Drosophila melanogaster: one gene and its partners. The gene in region 1 interacts genetically with each later gene. Each region holds a gene or a part of one and is shown on either strand. Other genes may lie near its edges.

The links.
Region 2: of CkIIbeta (region 1) and Pdfr, changing one suppresses a phenotype caused by changing the other (phenotypic suppression), as found in Drosophila melanogaster (one study listed by BioGRID).
Region 3: of CkIIbeta (region 1) and S6kII, changing one suppresses a phenotype caused by changing the other (phenotypic suppression), as found in Drosophila melanogaster (one study listed by BioGRID).

Annotation. Positions count from the first base shown.
Region 1 is NC_004354.4:11,790,664-11,795,537, reverse strand, and holds the start of CkIIbeta (casein kinase II beta subunit), read right to left. Parts: upstream 3,006-4,874; 5' UTR 2,852-3,005; intron 2,825-2,851; exon of another isoform or gene 2,793-2,824; intron 2,660-2,792; exon of another isoform or gene 2,259-2,659; intron 2,096-2,258; 5' UTR 2,092-2,095; coding exon 2,020-2,091; intron 1,741-2,019; coding exon 1,638-1,740; intron 1,565-1,637; coding exon 1,373-1,564; intron 720-1,372; coding exon 530-719; intron 434-529; coding exon 352-433; intron 1-351. Other genes in the region: karl, read right to left, coding at 3,807-4,180, 4,354-4,477, 4,543-4,680. UniProt on the Drosophila melanogaster protein: Participates in Wnt signaling. Plays a complex role in regulating the basal catalytic activity of the alpha subunit.
Region 2 is NC_004354.4:2,570,416-2,577,532, reverse strand, and holds Pdfr (Pigment-dispersing factor receptor), read right to left. Parts: upstream 5,328-7,117; 5' UTR 4,867-5,327; coding exon 4,687-4,866; intron 4,560-4,686; coding exon 4,103-4,559; intron 4,034-4,102; coding exon 3,923-4,033; intron 3,062-3,922; coding exon 2,910-3,061; intron 2,671-2,909; coding exon 2,413-2,670; intron 2,342-2,412; coding exon 2,045-2,341; intron 1,979-2,044; coding exon 1,715-1,978; intron 1,640-1,714; coding exon 1,479-1,639; intron 1,417-1,478; coding exon 1,080-1,416; 3' UTR 528-1,079; downstream 1-527. UniProt on the Drosophila melanogaster protein: Receptor for PDF, a neuropeptide controlling circadian behavioral rhythms. Probably regulates circadian behavioral rhythms through coordination of activities of clock neurons. PDF-binding results in the elevation of cAMP synthesis.
Region 3 is NC_004354.4:22,528,423-22,535,990, forward strand, and holds the start of S6kII (ribosomal protein S6 kinase II), read left to right. Parts: upstream 1-1,541; 5' UTR 1,542-1,928; coding exon 1,929-4,080; intron 4,081-4,433; coding exon 4,434-5,017; 3' UTR 5,018-7,568. Other genes in the region: CG17600 (uncharacterized protein), read left to right, coding at 1-159, 320-790, 848-969.

The sequences.
Region 1 (4,874 bases):
ATGTTTGGTTTTATTCAGACAGGCAGAGACATGATTGTATTCATAATCATATTCAGGTTCAGGTTGTCGATCGGATTTTATGGATGTTTGATTTGATTTGGTTTGGTTTTTTTTTGTGGTGGTGGTGGTGGTTGGTTTGGTGGTTTTGTATGTGTGGGGAGAGAAAACAAATAAAAAAGATATAATATATTTATATGCTTAGTAGTTGAATGATCCCTTGGTGGCGTTGTGTTTTTTTTAGTCAATATATAGAATTTTAGATTCCAAAATAAAATACAACAAAAAAAGATGAGAGAGTGGGGTAAATGGTGGAAAGGATACTAATAGCTAGTTATTAAGTTTTAAATTTACCGCTCGTAGTGGCATTTTAAAATTGGCTGCTGCCTGCAGCTGAATTTGATAAGCTAAGCTGTGTATTTTAAATCCATATAGCCTATGTATGTGATGATCAAGTTGACGTCGTATCGGGCACATAAAACAAAAGAGCATATTAACAATGTGCATATACAGTAATGGGTATAAATCTTACCTTGGAACAAACTGATTAGTAGGACGCTTGGGACGATATTCGGGATGCACCATGAAGAGCATGTGTGGAAATCCAGTGCCGAAATAGGCGCCATCGGTATGGTGGTGACGCGACGATTTTGGTGTGTACACGTCAATGCACTTGGGGCAATAGGTCTTAACCATTGCCTCGCCGGGGATGTCCGACAGACCTGAGGATAATAATCAAAGGATTAGACCACTGGCAGAGCAACTAGCAACTAGAAAAAGTCAGAATTCATCGGTGAAATCTGGTACAAACATATTTAACCTGATTTAACTCAACATGATATCCATCATGATCATTTATCATTAATAGCAGAAATGTTTACAAGGCTCGTCTAGCCACTTTGGCCTAGTTAATTTTCACAGAAATTGAGGGACCTTGTTTAGTGAAACCCTATCTTGCATTTGTGCATGCATTTGATTCAGCATTGCTTTATTTGATCGTTAACAACGTTTAGGGAAGTTTCGGTAAGAATTTATTGGAGATCGGGAAGCGTTGCGAAGGTTTTAACTAGGGCAAGCCAAGCCAGACAATTAAGGTAGAATTTCTATTAAGAATGCGTTGTTTTTTTCTTGGTGTAAGATTTCATGGGAAAGCCCCAATGATATGCTATTCAGGAAACTCAATTAGAAGTTGTGCCAATAATCGCGTTGATAGTTTCTGGCTATGTAATTACTAGGCAGAAAAGCACGAGGTTCCTCGTAGATATGTTGTTTTTTTTTTTTTTTTTTAGATTACAATCAATTACGCGCAGAAAGATTCGCAACTATGTTTGTTAGCTATAGGTAAGAGCGATTGATCAAGGATCTGGTTACGCACCCAATGGCAGCATGGGCTGACTTTCACAGTAGACACGTGGACAATGTCCGAAATCGCCAGTTTGATATTTCTCGATCATTTGAGCGATGCCGCGATTTGTTAGTATATATCTGGCGTGTATGAGGCCGTAGAGCATCTCGGCGGCCTGCTCGGTCATGTCGGACTGCAGTGGATTGTCCTCGAGCTCGTCCTCTGTGGATGGTAAGGCGCATTAGCTATATACATTACAATTTTGGATATGGGTAACAGCCCATTCTAAACTTACCCGGTTCCAAGTCCAAGATCATGTCCAACGCTTGCCGATAGTTGGGTACCTGCTCATTTAAACCAGTTAAATTGAATTTATCCTGTATGTAGTCCTCATCCACCTGGAATCAAAAGCGTATGCAATTAGGATCTGTACTGGAATATACTGTCATATATCCACTATATCGTGTGTTATCTGGACATGTGTGTACAGTTGGGCTCGGTATTGCCCCACCTTGCGGCACACACGCACACACACACACACACACGCGCGCGCAAAGGCAGAGATTGAGGGCTGCACTTTGCAATTGTTGCACTTATAGCGCGCGCTTAGATAACGCGATTACAGCGAAGAACGCGGGTAATTCGTCGTTGATGCTGATATGATGATGATATCTCACCTCGCAGAAGAACTCATTGCCACGAAGTCCACAGAACCAGGTGACCCAGGAGACTTCCTCGGAGCTGCTCATTTTGCTGCAAAGATAAGCGAATGGAGTTGCTAATTCATATTTTCATCGTTTTTTTTTTGCTGACAAATTATCCTGCACACGCATACCACACATGCACACCGCACTCTCACACACACAGGCAATCATGGCACACACACTGGGACAAACGCTCACGCACTATTACATACATTAAGGGGATTATTTTGCGTAATTTGGGCTGGCGTGCGAAATTTATTGTTAAAATATCTTGGAACGGAATCTTGGCACTTTCTTGTCTACCCCACCCCCCCTGCTTTCTTCACGTTTCCTTTTGGTTCCGCTTCTTGTTGCTCGCACAAACCACACTCTCTTTTTCCGCTTTTTTCTTCTTTCCTCCTCTTTTTTTTTGGTTGGATTGGCCTTTTGGGGTTTTTGTTTTCGGTTTTCCGTTTAATTCGCGTTGCTTGTACAATGTTACTAGTTTTCGGTGATCGCACCGTTGAAATTCGTGTGGTCGGGGGGCATAAAAATAAATTTTTATACTCGTATTGTGACAATTGACAAGCGCTCATACAAAATGTGCCGAGCAGCAAGAAGAAGCACACACTGTTGGAAATTGAGAAAAAAAGAGACACATATACAGGGGCCACCACACGCACACAAGCAAACACGCACACCGCGAAGCGCACATAGGGACGTGCACACACGCACGCCTTTACACCGATGAGCGCAATCCAACGCACACCAACTTGCTATTCTGTATTTTTCCCGCTGCGGCTATCTTCCAGTGGCCAGCACTCACCCAAATTGTTAATAATTACTCAAATTGATCGACTTTTGTACTGCAGCTGAACCGGTAAAGGCAAATATTGTAGCGAAGACGATGATATCAGGTATGCAATCTCGACTATCGATTACCGCTGTCCTGCGCTGTCCGCAGGCGATTGCCAATCGATGTGGCGCCGTGTCATCGCTAAGCGATGTATCGGCTAATCGGGATTGCGCGTTTCGCAACACTGGTTCGGAAAAGCAATTAACCAAACAAAACGCGGAATTATTTGTTAAATAAGCAAATCAAGCCAAATATTAAAATATTGTTTATTACCAGCATTTAGTTGGCTGTTTTGCCATTTGTCAAATAATTTACCGATTGCAGCTAGCAATATTTTCTTACAACTACTTTAAGGTATTATTTCGTTTAGTTGTATGGTAACACTATGTTGAAAGTTTGAAATGTTTGAAAGTGCTTATTTAAATTTGTATTATTGACAAAATAAATCGGGTTTTCGTATAATATTTTCTCTTAGTTGATTGATTAGACTAATAATACAAGAACGAGCGATAAACCCACTGCATGCATTTTAAGCGCAATCGCTCGAAAGATGTCAGAGTGAGAGCGAAGCGAGTTGCGAGCTTAAGCGAAAAAGCGAGAGCAAGGCCTTATCGCTTCAACTCGCTCAGGGCGTACGATTGTTTTGTTATATTCTGCGCTATATTACCGTTTATTTTCAAAACACACGTTATTTTGTTTTGTCTTGTTCCATTCTGTAAATAACCTTTTATATAAATTATTGAATTCGCCTTTTTCATTTCTATTTCAGTTAAGAGGGTGGACGACAGTTTTAACAGAAAGTTAATAGTTGCGCTTGATGCAAAAAATTCCTCGTCCGAATCCATCACGTTCACATTAATAACTAAAAGAGAGCAATGTAGCTCGTTTCTCGCTTAGCTCTTACTCTGCCATCGACTCGCTTTGCTCACAGCTTCTCGCTTTGCTCATAGCTTCTCGCTTCGCTACTAGCGCGCACTCTGCCGTCAGGCTTATTGATAATTTTGAAGATTTCCTTGGCTCTCTTGCGTCCATTCACAACATAGGCCAGTGGATCGTCGCGACTAGATTCCATTAGATTGTCGCACGATTCCTGCCCGATGTTAAACATAAAGGATGTGTCGATATCCTGCGGCAACTTGCCGCGCAGAAAGCTGATCTCGTTGTCGGCCAACGATGTTTTCCGCGACAAAAGCAGGGCGGACAGGTAACGTGGTTGCTTCTTCTTCTCGGCGCAGTGCATCACCAGGCCCCAGGTGTCGTAGTCCGTGTCCAGAACGTATGTGTTGTAGATGCCCTCATCTGCAAGGAGGTACATATAGAAACGAAAATACTGCTTAAAACATATATTAAACCCGGGCAGATCGAATTACTCTTTGGCATAGTAATTACCAAACTACTTCAAACGTATCACAACTACATTTTGAATAGATTTTCGTTTTGAATTTGATTGTAGAAACATTTCCATCACTCACATATGTCCTCCGTGTGCTGCCAATGTCCTGGCTCTTGGAATTTGGGTATCATCCAGGTGATGTTGCCCACGAGCTTCTCGCGCAGCGGATCCTCCGCAAATATGTAGCTAAAGTTCATCGTTATCTAATTTAAATTGAGGTATTGAGGTATAATTTGTAATAGGGATAAAGGTCCTTGCTGCCACTCACATGCTGATCCTCTTTGGAAAAGGAAAAGTGACTGCGCATGCACGCGTACTCCGGAAGTTCCTCTGTGGATGCGTAATACTGAACCACGTGCCAACAGCCCATCATGCGCTCCAAATCGAAGTTCTTAATGGCTCCCACCTAAACGGAAAATTAGTTCCATAATAAGTTAGATATGTAAGTAATTTAGAGGAGGTCTTTATAATGTTGTATAATATAATATATAATGTAATCTATAATGATAAAGATCTATTATACTTTATGATAGGAGTTTTTTTCTATTACCTATATATATATACATTAGACAGCGAGGGTTTCTGGTTAAGATTCACATA
Region 2 (7,117 bases), 9.2 Mb from region 1:
GAGCCGCATTTTGAGTGGGAAACAAGGAGGAGAGAATAGCCGAAAAGATATTTATTGCATTTATGTGTCTCCGATTATGGACCCCATTAGTTAAATATCGATTGTGGCAAAGTTTTTGTTGCACAACAAAGCGCAGCTAGCAAAATTCAAGGCAGTTGCAGTGAACGTGATCGATTGTAGCTGGCAGTGTGACCAGCTCAGGAACGGAAAGTGTAAGCTAATCAAAGTGGTAAAGAAAATGTAAATACAAGTAAACCCAAATCTTAAAACTTAATAACGGAATCCGATGAACAGCAAGTTCAACAGTTGATTAAAGGTGAGTTCCTTTAAACAATGTCACTTTTCAATTATGTTATGTAATAAGTTCTAATGGCTCACAAAGCCTGGCCACACTGCGCAGTTACCGCAAGTTTGTGTTAATTCACTTAAATATTTCAATCTAATATTTAAATATGAATAGTAGAAGTAAAAGAACATGCCGCTGAAGTTTTGCTGAAAAATTCATCGAGTAAGAACCGTGTGCGAGTGTTTTTGAATGTATTTGCGTGTCCAGAACAGAAGGTGACGCTATTGGAAATTTATTGTCATCAAAAATATTTTGTAAAACTTGTAGGGAAATTTGAATTTTCGTAGGATTAGCCGATTTCGAAAGGATAGGAGATTTCTAGATTTTGGAAAGGGTTTGGATATGGCTTACACAAATAAAGGTATGTATGTATTTACATAAGTACAGTGGAGCAAGAACCGAAGGCAAGCGAAAATAACTATTTAAATTAAATGTCTATTGGTTTAATTTGAATTACAAAACAATGAGCTTACTTTCTGTTCAAAATGATCTTGGGTATAAGAACTGCGATATTTTGTTGGGGTATTTTACATATGTGCTGTTTCCAGCTGGCTTGCTTGGTGGGTCGATGGGAGATGCAGGAATAGTCGGGTTCTGGGTTATCTTTGGGATCATTTCCGGTCCGATTGTGTGGGTGCTGGCTACTGTGGTGGTGGGCTACATGGCGTTGGCTACTTCTACGGCTATTTGGCTACGGCTATGGCTACATCTATTAGTTAGGCTAGGTTTTGGTCTACTGCTCTGACAACTCAAATACAACTGACTCGGGTGGCACGGATGACGCTGACGGTACTCTTAGTACCTTTTGACCCCGGAAGCAGATGCCCATTATCCACTTGGAGCCGCGAGTTCGCGATCTCGCGCTGCCCGCCTCCTTGCTGTGAATGTGGGAGATGGTCGGATCCGGCTCCGCTTCCGCATCCGTCTTCTCCACCCGGTCCTTGCCCTTTTCCCGCGCCTTGTTTTGCAGCCGGGGCATCAGTCGCTGGCGCTGTTGAGGCTCGTGAATCATCACAATGCTGGCACTGCTCGGCTTTCTTCCATTCAGCCTTTTATTCGGCGGTGATATTCTGGGAGTTTTAAATTGATGTAAGGAGTTTCAAGGTGGGGTGTGCACAAAGCGGATGCTTACCGCTTTCCAGTGGCCGATGGATCTCCTGCAGGCTGCACTGCATCCGTATCCGGCGCCGTGTTATAAGCACCCGAGTACATAGATGCCCTTTTCGGCGCCCATTCCGGATGACCTCGCACCGACAGCTGGGTGGCCAGACTCTTTAGTAGCACGGCACGAACCTAAAAAATATATATTTTGGTTGGAAATAGTGAGGGTTTTAGGCAAATGGACAACTGAGTGACTTGATGTCTTACCTCGCCATTTAGAAAGCAGTAAATTAGCGCTATAAAAAATCCCTGAAACGAGGTGAGAAAGTGGGTGCCATACGACCAGACCGCGAAGTTCGTGGCCGTTTTCAGAGGAGCCAGCTGGTGCAGGAGATTGGTTATACCCAAAAGTGGTAGTAGGACTATAGCCGCTCTAACTGCCTTGCGAGTCTGTTCTATATCGCTGGCCTGCGATTGACGCAGCTTCATTACCAGCACTCGGATAATGTTCACCAGGAAACAGAAGTTTAGCTGCATGCGGATGTTTTCAGTTGGGTGAATAGGTGATTAAAGCGATCAACAGTTGATATTACCCACCAGTATGACCGCTAGTCGTGGCCCCTCGAGGATCCAGTAGTAGGGCGTGAGATTATAGTTCCACAAGCATTCGCCCAGCGAGGTGTCCATATACATGACCGTGCATCTCGCCCACACGGTGGTCATCAGAATGGGCACACACCAGCCGAGTCGCGAGAAGAACTTGAGGGGAAAGCTGCCCTGGAAAACGGCCACGGTGACCATGTTGTGCAGGTAAAGGCCCTCGATGAACATCCACATGAACATGGCGGTACGAGCGTACTCCAGAAGTACATAGGATGCTTCGCACAAATAGGGCTGTAGAACATAACATATAATATCGAACATAAGCCTTATACCTTATCCTTATGCGGGAATATTAAGCCTACCGTGTTCTCAATGACAGAGAGACTCGTGTTGGTGGCCGCCTCCTTGTTTCCCCGCCGGAATTGGTCGAGATACAAGGTCAGGCGAATGATCACCTGCAGCACCATGGCGACGAAAAGATTCTTGTGGATCTTGGTGCGATTGTTTCGCAGCGAGCGAAATGTGCAGAAGATCAGCAGGGAAACTATAAGGGCGAACAGGGAGAGGCAGAGGCCCACGATCTCCAGGGTTCGAGTCCTCCTGGCAATGTCTATGTAGGCCTAAGGGATATCGCAAACCAGTTGGAAGAAATGGAATTAAAACTACTACTATAAACCACTATCAACAAATGTAATCAGGCCTTTGAAATCACTTTTTAGGGTGTCTAAAAAACTTGGAACCCTATTAGGTAATTTCAAAACCATACCCTTGATTTGGGATTTTGGTTGGCATTTAAGCAATGCTCTTAACTATAACTGAAACAGGTATTATGATGTAGTGTGGAAAGAATTCAACTCACATCGAAGTCCTTGCTGCCCATCTGCTGCATGAGACGGATAATCTCCGGCTTGTAACACGGCCCGTAGTCCGTCCATCCCGGCGGATTCACCTCCGTGGCATTTGGCCTGCTGCCCCATCGACCATCCAGCTCACACTTTCGGATGGCGAATTCTGCGAACCGAAAAAGAGGGAGGTTGGGTTGGATTAATGACAGTAATCGAGCTTTGACACACTGACTGACAAGTGCAATTATGCCAATCGAATGGGCGACCGACCTCGTCCAGTTGAAAATATTGGGGCTAAAAATCTAGACACGGCCCGGAGAAATGAGGCCGTAGCTCAACAATGCACTCGAATAATTATTTCTTAACAGATATAGTTCGATATGCCTAGATTTTGCACCACAAGCGCAGATAATACATTCACTAGTGATAATGGAAGAGCATTTTAAGTTTGTAAAATATTGGGTGGTAAGTCAGCTACTTAGAATCTTTTCGCTCAGTGTATATCGCCCATGGTTATTAAATAGCAATTCCCCATTGCAGAACGTTTAATTTATCGGAGGGGTAGAGCAAGCATTTAGGATCGTAATTAAGCAATCGATTGGCTGGTGTTTTAAACCCTGTTCAACTGGCGGAGCTCGAGGGTGCACATGAAACACCTGGACAGCCCCCGGCGATGGAAGCCAAGGAGGGGCGGCCCCGACTGGGAGTGCGGTTGATTGGACGCCCCCAGTCATGCATGTAAATATTGACATCCTTTCGATGAATACGGAATCAAGTAATTGTTTGCCGTGCACCACTTGAACCGTTTCCCAGCTAATGATCCGTATGATTGTGACCGCCAGATATGCCGTGTGGATGGGATAAACACCGTAGGACATGTCTTTTGACTCCTAATAAGCCGGCAGAAGTCATAAAGCTTCTTGTGGCTGCTAAACAGCTAAACAGCTTCAACGATTAATTATGCTAATTGTACTCAGCATGTTCTTTTTCGGCTGCTTTTTTTTTAGAGTGTATTTCAGTTACTTACTGCGCGTATCTACGCCATGAAAGCCGCCAGGACAATTCATCCGTGCAAGGACTCCAGCCGGAGTGGGTGGCCAGCAGAGCAATGTGTCCCAGGTCCAATTGCAGTAGAGTCCTATCCCGGCAACAAAAAAAAAAAAAAAAATACTGCAATATGATTTAAAAGTTATTAGGCTTTAGGTACCTGTTTGTGGTAGGGTGTAATTGACAAAAAGCGCCGAGCAGTTCTCGAAATTGGTGGCCGCTGCCGACGCAAGCGTTAGATTCCAGGGCGCGCTGCTGTTGAGATTACCGAGAACCTGTTCCGTGTCCGAATCGGGCAGTGCGTCCATGACGGTGGGCTCCAGGGCCAATTGGGCCACCCTGGCGACACCGTCGAGGACATACGTTCCCGGCGATTCCGTTGTCGAGGCATCGAAATCGTGCAGTAGTGGCACGCGTCCGGTCGCCAGGCTGTGCGAGGATGTTGGCTCCAGCATGGATTTTGATTCAAATGTTCCGGCCGTCGGTGCAGATGGGGATGGTCCTGATGAGCCGGACTGGCGCAGCAGGCGGGTGAAGCGCTGGGCGGAAATACAGCCTCCGCAGTCGAGAATGTTCGACAGGAGGGTCATTTTGCCATCGACCGCATAGTAAATGTGCTGCAAAGCGAACAATGAACATCGTTGTTATTTACGCACCAGCATTATATCGAGTTATATCGTTCTAAAAAAAAAAAAAAAACAATCCCAAACCCATCAAACTTTGTACGAGTTAAACCCAACCAACCAATGAGTCTGCATGGCGAACACGACCTCCAGAACACGGAGCTTTGTCTTTCGATATTAGCATTGGACCCATGGACATGCATGCATTGGCTGCAATTGAAAATTGATCTCTTTCCATTTCGATTTCGATTTCCGCTTCCGTTTTCGTTTTCGTTTCCGATTTCCGATTTCCCGCACCCATGCGCCCCGTTATCCGGGTCAGATTTAATTGAAAGCTTATCGCACAATGAGACGTACGTCGACCGGTGCCTTTGTTTACCGGATCTTATTCTCGTTGGCAGAGTGCCCGTCGTTAACGCAGTTTATGATTGCCCCTAATAAATACCCGGCTTATTTATAGTCCCGCTGCACCGGAGTGCAAACATCACGCCCACACGCTACGACGCCATATGTATGCACATACATACAATACACATATCATTGGCATTCGCATTCGCATTCGCACTCGTATCACCCACATCGCACCGATTGTCGGGATTATGCCTGGCGAAATGGCAAATGGCCAGGAGCACCACATGCACGCAGAAAAGAAAACAAGTGAGTTGTTTACACATTTCAAATATTTTTGAATTGGGCATTGAATTGCATGGCATTGCAACGATCGCCACATACCAATTTCTTTCTGTGCAGCAGGAAGAGGAACTACGGGCTATGTGATGAATTGTAATTGCAACAACAGTTGCACTAACCCTTTTCCAATTTACGTGTCGGCTCTTTTCGGAGAAGTGTAATCTCTGCACAAGGAACAGATTAAAAATGAGCAGCTAAAACTTTGTATGAAGAACTCAAGGTCCTGCAAACAACTGATGATACGATCGTGCAGACTCGAAAATGTAATGCTTTTATCATTGCACAAATGAGATGGAGTAATTCCCAATGAAAAACAACAGCTTGTTTATCATTTAGTGGCACGTTTTGTGAAAAACAAGATTTCATATTTTAATGACGGCATCACATATTTTCCTCTGCGCAATTTATGGCCAAGGCTAAACGGAATGTAAATTACTTCAATGACAATCGCACACGACAAATTATGATTTCTTCCTGTCTTGGTTGCGTTGCAGCAGCAGCAGCAGCAGCAGCAAATGGCGGCGGAATGGCACAGGAAACACGTTGCCATTCGCTTTTTTTTGCCTCAACTTTTATTTCTTTTTCTTTTTTTGGTTTTTTCACTTCCGGAATTGCGTAAACAAGCCATGCGGAGGACGGTCGTCCAAAGTGGCCAAAGTTGCACATTTTGCTCATGTTGCCCATGTTGCTTGTGTTGCTTGTGTTGCTTGTGTTGCTAAGCTGCCCCAAAAATGCCTTTGAGTGCATTTTATATAATTTCATAAGAATTTCAATTTCGCCAGTAGTCGCTGCACACGAATGCATGCATGCAGGCTATGCTCCACCCACACGCTCACCCACCTCCCTCCCCCCCCTCAGCTATCCATCTCTGCATTTCCGCATTTCCGCATCCCTGGGGGCATTCCACTGGCTTTGTACTGCTCAATATGTATTTTGGTTGCATAAGCGCCAGCGTCAGACGAAGTGCAGCATTAGCAAAAACTTTGCGACTAAGCACTCCCACAGCGCAAAAAATCAACGATATATACGGTATATGTATATATATATATATATTTAAAATATATAATTAAGTAATTAAGATATTAAGCCTTTCGGGAGCCTTGAATTCGCTGCTTATTTACCAATCGATGCTTATCGCCGCAGCGAACCGATTCTCAGCTCGCGCTCGTAATTAAGCTAACTAAGCGCAAAATCCCCTCCAAAGCGACTGAAAAGCCAGTGGCGGGGCCAGGGATTGGAAACGGTTTGGTTTGGCTTGGCTTGGCTTGGCTTGGATTGGATTGGATAACCAACTGGATGGATGCTGGATGCCGCGATTCGGCATCTCCAAGCAGACAACAGACCCTGATTTGGGTCACTTGGCAGCAGTTGCAGCGTGCGGGTTATGGGGTTGAGGGATTAAGGGACCCCTTTAAATACTTGTGCAATTTAAAGTTAGCACCAGTCAGAAACAGAAAGTAACTAAAATTTAATTACATTGAGGAAAGTGGTTTGTTCAACTGCAATTTGTTTGTGTGTAAAGTGTGTACAGAGTAGAGCTTACAAATATTATTGGTAGTTGGTAGTTGGCAATCGAGAAGAGGCTTGTTAATCAAAATGTTCTTGCATATTACATAAGCACATTTTTATATTTATTACGCCCTTGGCATATATTTTTTTTTTTGACTTGAGCAATCCATTTTCAGGCCGATAATTGAACGAGCTCTGGACTCGATTGTTTACAATTTGGAAACCCAAACATGCTGGGCCGTTTGAATAATTAATCAACTTTCTTATTGAACACTCAGCAATTCAATTATTTAACACGCATTGCAATGCCCCAAATAGCTTGTCAATTCCACTTGATGGGTGGATACTCATAG
Region 3 (7,568 bases), about 11 Mb from region 1:
GAGAAGCCGCCGGCGGTGAAACTCCTATCCGCCGCCCTAGACTTGGATGCCCAAAAATCCCAGGCAAACAATGATGACGATAATAAGCCCAATCTTATTTCGCACCAAGAGTTCAAACAACAGCTGCAGGAAGCTATTGCTTCGCGGCAACCAAACCAGGTAGGTCCTACAAAAAGTCAACCAAAATTAATCAATTTGTATCAGTTGAATCACCTAATAGGGCTAGAGAATCTTTAATTGTCCATTTCTGTACTGCCTTGCTCTCATTAATCCTCAGACAATCGAATATTGTACCAAACACATTTTTTCTTCTGTGCAGGTGAATGGCACTAAGAGTGGGGCCACCACTTTGGACTCCAGGATCAGTCGTAAACAGCGCTGTCCACCGGAATTTATTAAGTACAAGGAGGGCAGCGAGGGTGGAGGCAGTGGCTCATCGCTTTCCTCGAAAGATCGGCGCAAGCGCAAGGCGAGCAATGAATGCTGCTCGGCATTTCCACTGCAAATAGTGTTGGGCACTCTCCAGTTGCTCCTGGCCATATCGCTGGTGGCCCTGGGATCACTTCTGATCGTCCGAGAGGCAGCGCTCTCACTGGCGGGATGCGGCATCTGGACGGGATTGATAGCAGCCGTTACGGGCTCCCTTGGAGTGGTGAGCATGCGCAAAACCCAGACAGCGTTTTTGGCCCTCAGTTTGGTCTGCATCGCCAGCAGCACCCTGGCTCTGGCTATTTCCGGCGTGGGATTGTCAAGGGACCTCAACAGGATGGCGGAGCAAAAGGGTGAACAGGTAAAGCCGGGCTCTTCGCATTGAGGCATGTTTTTTTAATGGTTTCATCCATTCTAGTTCGACTTGATCGATACCAACAGCGAGGTTTCCGCTGCCTGCGGCCTAATTTTTGCCCTGTTTCTTCATTTTGTGGTCAGTATTGTATCCGTCTATCGTTGCGCCCTTCAGATTTGCACTAAGTAAGTAAGCTACTCCTACTACTCCTACTTTTATATATGAAAAGTGGTTGTTGTCCACTTTTGAAGCAATAATAATACTGAATCTATAAGCACAATGTTTTTTTTTTTATTGTTTTTAAAAGCGCTTGTACGATATCCATTAGTTTTTTACCAATTGAATTTGGAATGTTGCGGCTAATATAAGTAAGTAAGTCTGCAAAACCGTTGTATTTATTTAGCAAAGTTTCCGGAAATCAATATAAAAGGGATATAGAAATTTATAATAACGGTTTTTAGACGGTTTACACAAGATAACTTGTTTCGTGACGACGTTTTCGTAATGAATTGGTATTTTTCGCGTTTGGTATATTGCTAGACACGGTCACACGGGCCAAATCATTCTCAAATAAAACTATATTTATATGTTTTTTTTTTTTTAATTGAGTTATATAGACTTTTAAAACCGAAAGAATGTATTAAAAGTGTAAACAAAAATTTGCTGAATACGCACAGTAAAAACATCGGCTGCAAAAAGTAAATCGATGTTTTCGGAAAACTGAAACTATCGATGTAATCGATGGTAACATCGATTTTTTTGCAGCTCTAAAAAAACTTTATTGTGAATGTGTAAATAATAGTGATAAGAAGCAACACAGCTGTGCGGATTGCGAAGCGGATAGTAAAGCAGACGGCGTACGAAACGTGGGCGCATTAGGAAAGCGCTGCTTGTTGGCCGTAGGAGCAGCAGGGAAACCAGAGAAATCCGGAGAGGCAACAGCGCAGTCGACTGCGACGCCCACGCAGCGGAAGTAATAAAAAAGAAAAGTGAAATCGGAAGTAGGGAGAGTTCGGTGGAGGAGGAGCAGCAGGAGGAGTTGGAAACGCAGGGGGAACTCGGGCTCTAGCATTGTGCATCAGGATCTGGAAACAAAGGAACCGCTAGGAGCAGTTGCCTCACAACGCTAGCAGCCACCGAAGTCATGCCGCTGGCCGATTCGCAAAAGGATCTCCGCCAGCAGCCTCAGCAGCAGCAGCAGCAGCAGCATGTGTCCTCCACCAGCAGCAGCAACAATGCGGAGCAGCAATGCAGCAGCAGCGGATTGGGTCTGCAGCTGCGCCAGCGCATGCAAATTACCTCGTCCGGCTGCAGCAGCCTGGCGGTCACGCCCATGGAGCACACGCCCACCGAGGACGATGAGAGTGGCGGAGGCAACAGCGGTGTCACTTCCTCGGTGACCACTGTGACATCATCGCAACGCCGCCAGCAGCTGCAACAGGTGCAACAGCAATCTGCTCTGCAAGCGGCCCTCGAGCAGCATCACATCTCACCAACAGCAGACTTGGATTCCGCTAGGAAAAGGCCGACGCATCGAACCTTGTGCCCGCCGCCAGAACTTATGGAGCTGAGTGATTCCGAGTCCCAGGGAGGCGTGGAAACTGGCGGTAGGAGAGAAGGGGCTACTGGGCGAAGTGCACCTGATTTAGAAGACACCGAGCCCCTATATGAAACAGAAAACGAATTCGAGCTTAAGGAAGTCATCAAGGAGGGTCACGACAAGGCCGATCCTTCCCAGTTCGAGCTCCTACGGGTTCTGGGCGAAGGTAGCTTTGGAAAGGTGTTTCTAGTGCGAAAGATCATAGGCAAAGATGCAGGAACACTCTATGCCATGAAGGTGCTCAAAAAGGCCACCCTAAAAGTAAAAGATCGCGTAAGGAGCACAAATGAACGAAAAATACTAGCGGACGTGGGTCATGCTTTCATCGTACGTCTTCACTATGCCTTCCAAACTCCCGGAAAACTCTACTTGATACTGGATTTTCTTCGTGGCGGTGATCTGTTTACCCGTCTATCCAAAGAAGTAATGTTTACGGAAGAAGATGTCAAGTTCTATTTAGCGGAACTGGCGCTAGCTATGAATCACCTACACACATTGGGCATTATCTACAGGGATCTGAAACCGGAAAATATTCTACTGGACGAGCATGGCCATATAGCCTTGACGGACTTTGGTCTATCCAAGCAGCCTTTGGATGGCTCAAAAACATATAGCTTTTGTGGAACCGTAGAATACATGGCGCCGGAGATCGTGAACCGAAAGGGACACGATTTTGCCGCTGATTGGTGGAGTTTCGGGGTGCTCATGTACGAAATGTTAACGGGGAATTTACCCTTTCATGGCCAAACCCGCCAAGAGACTATGAATCAGATCCTTAGAAGTAAGCTGGGCATGCCGGAGAATTTGTCGCCAGAGGCGCAATCCCTGCTACGTGCTCTCTTCAAAAGAAACCCCCAGAATCGTTTGGGTGCGGGTGCCCAAGGAATTCTGGACATCAAGGCGCACTGCTTTTTTGCCACCATCGACTGGGTGAGATTAGAACGAAAGCAGGTGCGTCCGCCTTTCATACCGGCGGTTAGCCGTGACGATGCCTTTTACTTTGATGTGGAGTACACCTCAAAGTCCCCCAGGGATTCTCCGGGTGGCCCGATCTCCGCATCTGCCCATGAGATCTTCCGCGGGTTCAGCTTTGTGGCTCCTGTCCTTCTGGAAGGTCAGTGTGCTGGCTCGAATATGTGCTCCACCAGCGCCAGTCCTCTGCATAGTATAGCTCCTATTCCTGCTGCTCCAGTGGGAGCCCCTCGAACATTACCTGGTGTTCTTCCCGGAAACTTCCATGCGGAATATAATCTACTGCAAGAACTGGGACGTGGAACCTTTTCAGTTTGTCGGTTGTGCGAGCATCGAGCCTCCAAGAAACATTACGCAGTAAAAGTAATCGAAAAGGCAGCTGTGGCCGCAGCATCCACATCCACTTCTGCCGATTGTTGGGAGGAGGTGGAGATTATGCTGAGGTACGGCAACCACCCAAATATCGTCACTCTGTACTCTGTTTACGAGGATGCGGGGTCCGCATATCTTGTGATGGAGCTGCTTAAGGGTGGCGAGCTTCTCGATCGGATACTTGCCGTGGGCCAGATGTGCGAGAGTGAGGCCAGCGCGGTGTTAAGGACAATTGCATCTGCGGTAGCATATCTCCATGAACATGGCGTGGTCCATCGAGATCTTAAGCCTTCAAATATGATATATGCCAGTATGCGGCAAACTCCCGAGACCCTAAAGCTCTGCGATTTGGGTGAGTGCGGAGCGGAACTAGTTAAATATATTTTATTATAGCCTTGCAGTAAATTTTCCAATTGCTGACAAACATGATTCACTTTAAAAGCTAAACTTTCGTAATTTTTAATTCCTTTAACTATTATTTGTTTTCTAAGTTACTTTGTTATTTGCAATTTTAAAGGTTTCTTTTCTCCAAACAGAAGGTTTTTCATTTTAAGATCTTATTTAGCCAAAGTTCCATCCTATTGCAATTGAAATCATTTGATAATATTTAAATTCAGAAAGCATTTATTTCTGCAAGGCTATATATTTTTCTGTGCGAGTATTTCTTGTTGGTAGAGCAGGAGTAACCTTCCGATTTCCGCTTAGGTTTCGCGAAGCAGCTGCGCGCGGACAACGGCCTCCTGATGACGCCATGCTACACAGCCAATTTTGTGGCTCCCGAGGTTCTAAAGAGACAGGGCTATGACCTGGCTTGCGACATCTGGTCGCTCGGTGTGCTGCTTTACATCATGTTATCCGGCCGGACGCCTTTCGCCAGCACTCCAAATGATTCACCGGACGTAATACTGAAGCGCATCGGATCAGGACAAATTGACTTCACAAGCAGTCGCTGGGCACTGATCAGTGTGCCGGCCAAAGAACTTTTGCGTCAGATGCTACACATAGTACCGGAGAATCGGCCGACGGCGGCGCGAATACTTGAGCACGACTGGCTGCGGGAGCAATTCGCCGGCGGCGTACAGCTTACAGAGTATGCGGTGGCGCCCGGATCCCAACTTTCGCTGGGCGCCCAGCAGCAGCAGCAGAATCACATCTCCATGGCCTTAAGAGGCGCTGTTGATGCCACTTTCCGGGCTATTGCCATACCCCAGGCGGCGAATGTGGGACCCGTAGAACTTTCCATGCTCGCCAAGAGGCGGGCCAAAGATCGAGCCAACCTGCACTCCTAATCCTGGGCGGCTGCATGGTGTCCGCGGCGCCAGGCCAAGCGGCAGATAGTCCGACTACTTTTCCGAATCTATAGTATTCTAATCCAATGCTGCTGTGCCAATCCGCGTCGTCTTGTCAAGGACAATGCGCAGAAGCTTGGTTCACATCCACAAACGCTGGGCAATCCTCGCCAACGCTGCCGCAGCGCCAAGCTGCGTGTGGTTTAGGTTTTGGGGGAATCGGCCTAACCTAAAGTATTTGACAAGTGTTAATTATTTATTTTATATGAAAGCATGCCAATATGCCAAGGCCATAACGCACTGTGCGGGGCATCTATATACACATATATATAACTATACAAATACTGATATACATCTATATATAGCTATTTATATAACGAATCCTAAAGCAAGGGCCTAGAGAGCGCGTGTGAATGTGGCGCCAGGATCATCCCAGATGATTCCTGAAACCACATTATTTATCCCAAACTGGAAATTAAAAAAAAGCCTCTCGCCCAAGTTTACATATTTTTAATTAAATTAATCGTAGCTAAATTTTTCAACATCACCGTGTTATTGTTGCTTAATTAAATTAATTAAAATGAAAAAAAAAATGGAAAAAAGTATTAGCAAAACAAACAAAAATTAAGAATAAAAGCCGCAATCCTTTTATATAATAATAACTTTTTTCGCCAAACTATAAAGGAAGAACAAAGAACCCAAAAAAAACTGTGTAGAAAGATAAGAAAATCAAACCACAAGAGTTTCCACAATTCTTACTTGGAATGTCAATTTGCACAATGAAATATGAAACTAAGCAAAAGATAAACATAACTACCATATTATACAGAATGTGTACATAAAGCGGAAACTGTGCTTTTCGGGTTTATAAGGCAAAGGATATTAGAAAAGAGTATTTTATTAATAATTCCCTAAACAATAAAAACCGACGTTCTTTCCAACACTGCACAAGGGTGCATATTGTTATTTAATTGTAATTAAGAAACGTAAATCCTGCTAACTTGTCTTACAGTCGCGAAACGCACAGTTTAGTTGTAATAACGCCGGGGAAACAGTTGTGACAACATCAAATTGGGTTTCCATTTTGTTTGCTAACGTCTTCCAACAGAAATTATATCAAACAATATACCTTTTTGCGCTGTAACCAGATATAGAAAGTTCCGACTTACCATTGGATGATTTAGAACCGAAACCGCGATATATTCCATCATACTCGTACTGAATACAAATAGGATAGCGTCGTATAAACGACTTGGGTTAATGCAGAGAATTCCATTTGTTTGTGCTAGTTTCTCTAAAAACTGCACGATCATCAGTTCCCAACAACTTGTTTCGACTCTTCGAAGACAATTCCAATTTTGTTGTATTTTTGCCAAGGAAAACTTGTTAAAATTATGCTAGAGGGAAATATACAAAAAAAAAAAAAGAAAATACAAGCAAAGTGGAACGAAATTGAATAAATTATGTAGAAGAGCCATGTGAATCCTTAGAAGCTATGTATGCCACTTGAAAAGCAGAAGTTTCTTGTTTGCGAGCTTGTGTGTGTGCATAAGAGGCTGTGTGTGTGCTTCTTGTAAGTGCATGTGTGTGTGTGCTAAAGGATTATTGTGCTGTGCCACTACTGAACTTACTGCTACCAAAAATAAAACAATAACTTCATATACATATTTACACCACCTAAACAAGGTTAGTAAAACTTAGAAATTTTTTAAAAAAGGATAACATCCCTTGAATAAAACTGTATTTTCGTGGTGTTATTAAAAGGAGTTGGAGGGGGAAAATGGTATGATTATCCTAAAGTACATATATAATTAGCTAGCTGCGGAGGGAAAACAATGTGTACACATTGACATATAATATAGAAAATATTTAAGAAGGATCTTGAGATGAACATTTCGCCTAATAGTTGTCACGATAAACTTTTGCAAAATATGTTGCGTCTACAGCAATGATTTATACTTAATTACCTTGTTTTGAAATGACGACAACCAAATTGAAGGGATACGTCGTTTCCCTGCTTCGTTTTTTAACAGATTCATACACAAATTATAAAACGAAGTTGAGACAGGCAGAAAAAGAATTTTAGTCCACGGGCTGATGAGAAATCTAATCCAGCGATTAGATTAAAACTCATGTATACAAAAGTGGCCTACTATGATAAAAACTGTAATCATTTATCAATAATTCCGAACGGTCTCTTACAAAAATGTTCGGGTTGCACAAAAAGGACAGAGACAACAGATAGTTTAAGCATACAATACAAGCAACCCACTTTAAAGCCAACTCTCGACTAAATTCCCCAAGAACATACATATATATCTTAATCATATATATGAATGCGTGAATATATTTTCTTAGTAGATTTTAACAGCTTCCAGACTATACATACATTCAAATGATTGAATTCCGATATGAATCATTTAATTAATAAACATATTCAACGAAACTGATTCGAAATTATTGTTAAGTTGAATTTTTCAAACCAAGCAGAAGGAACCTAATTGAAAAACAAATAACCAATTCGAATTGTTTCGATCTAATTGGGATATCC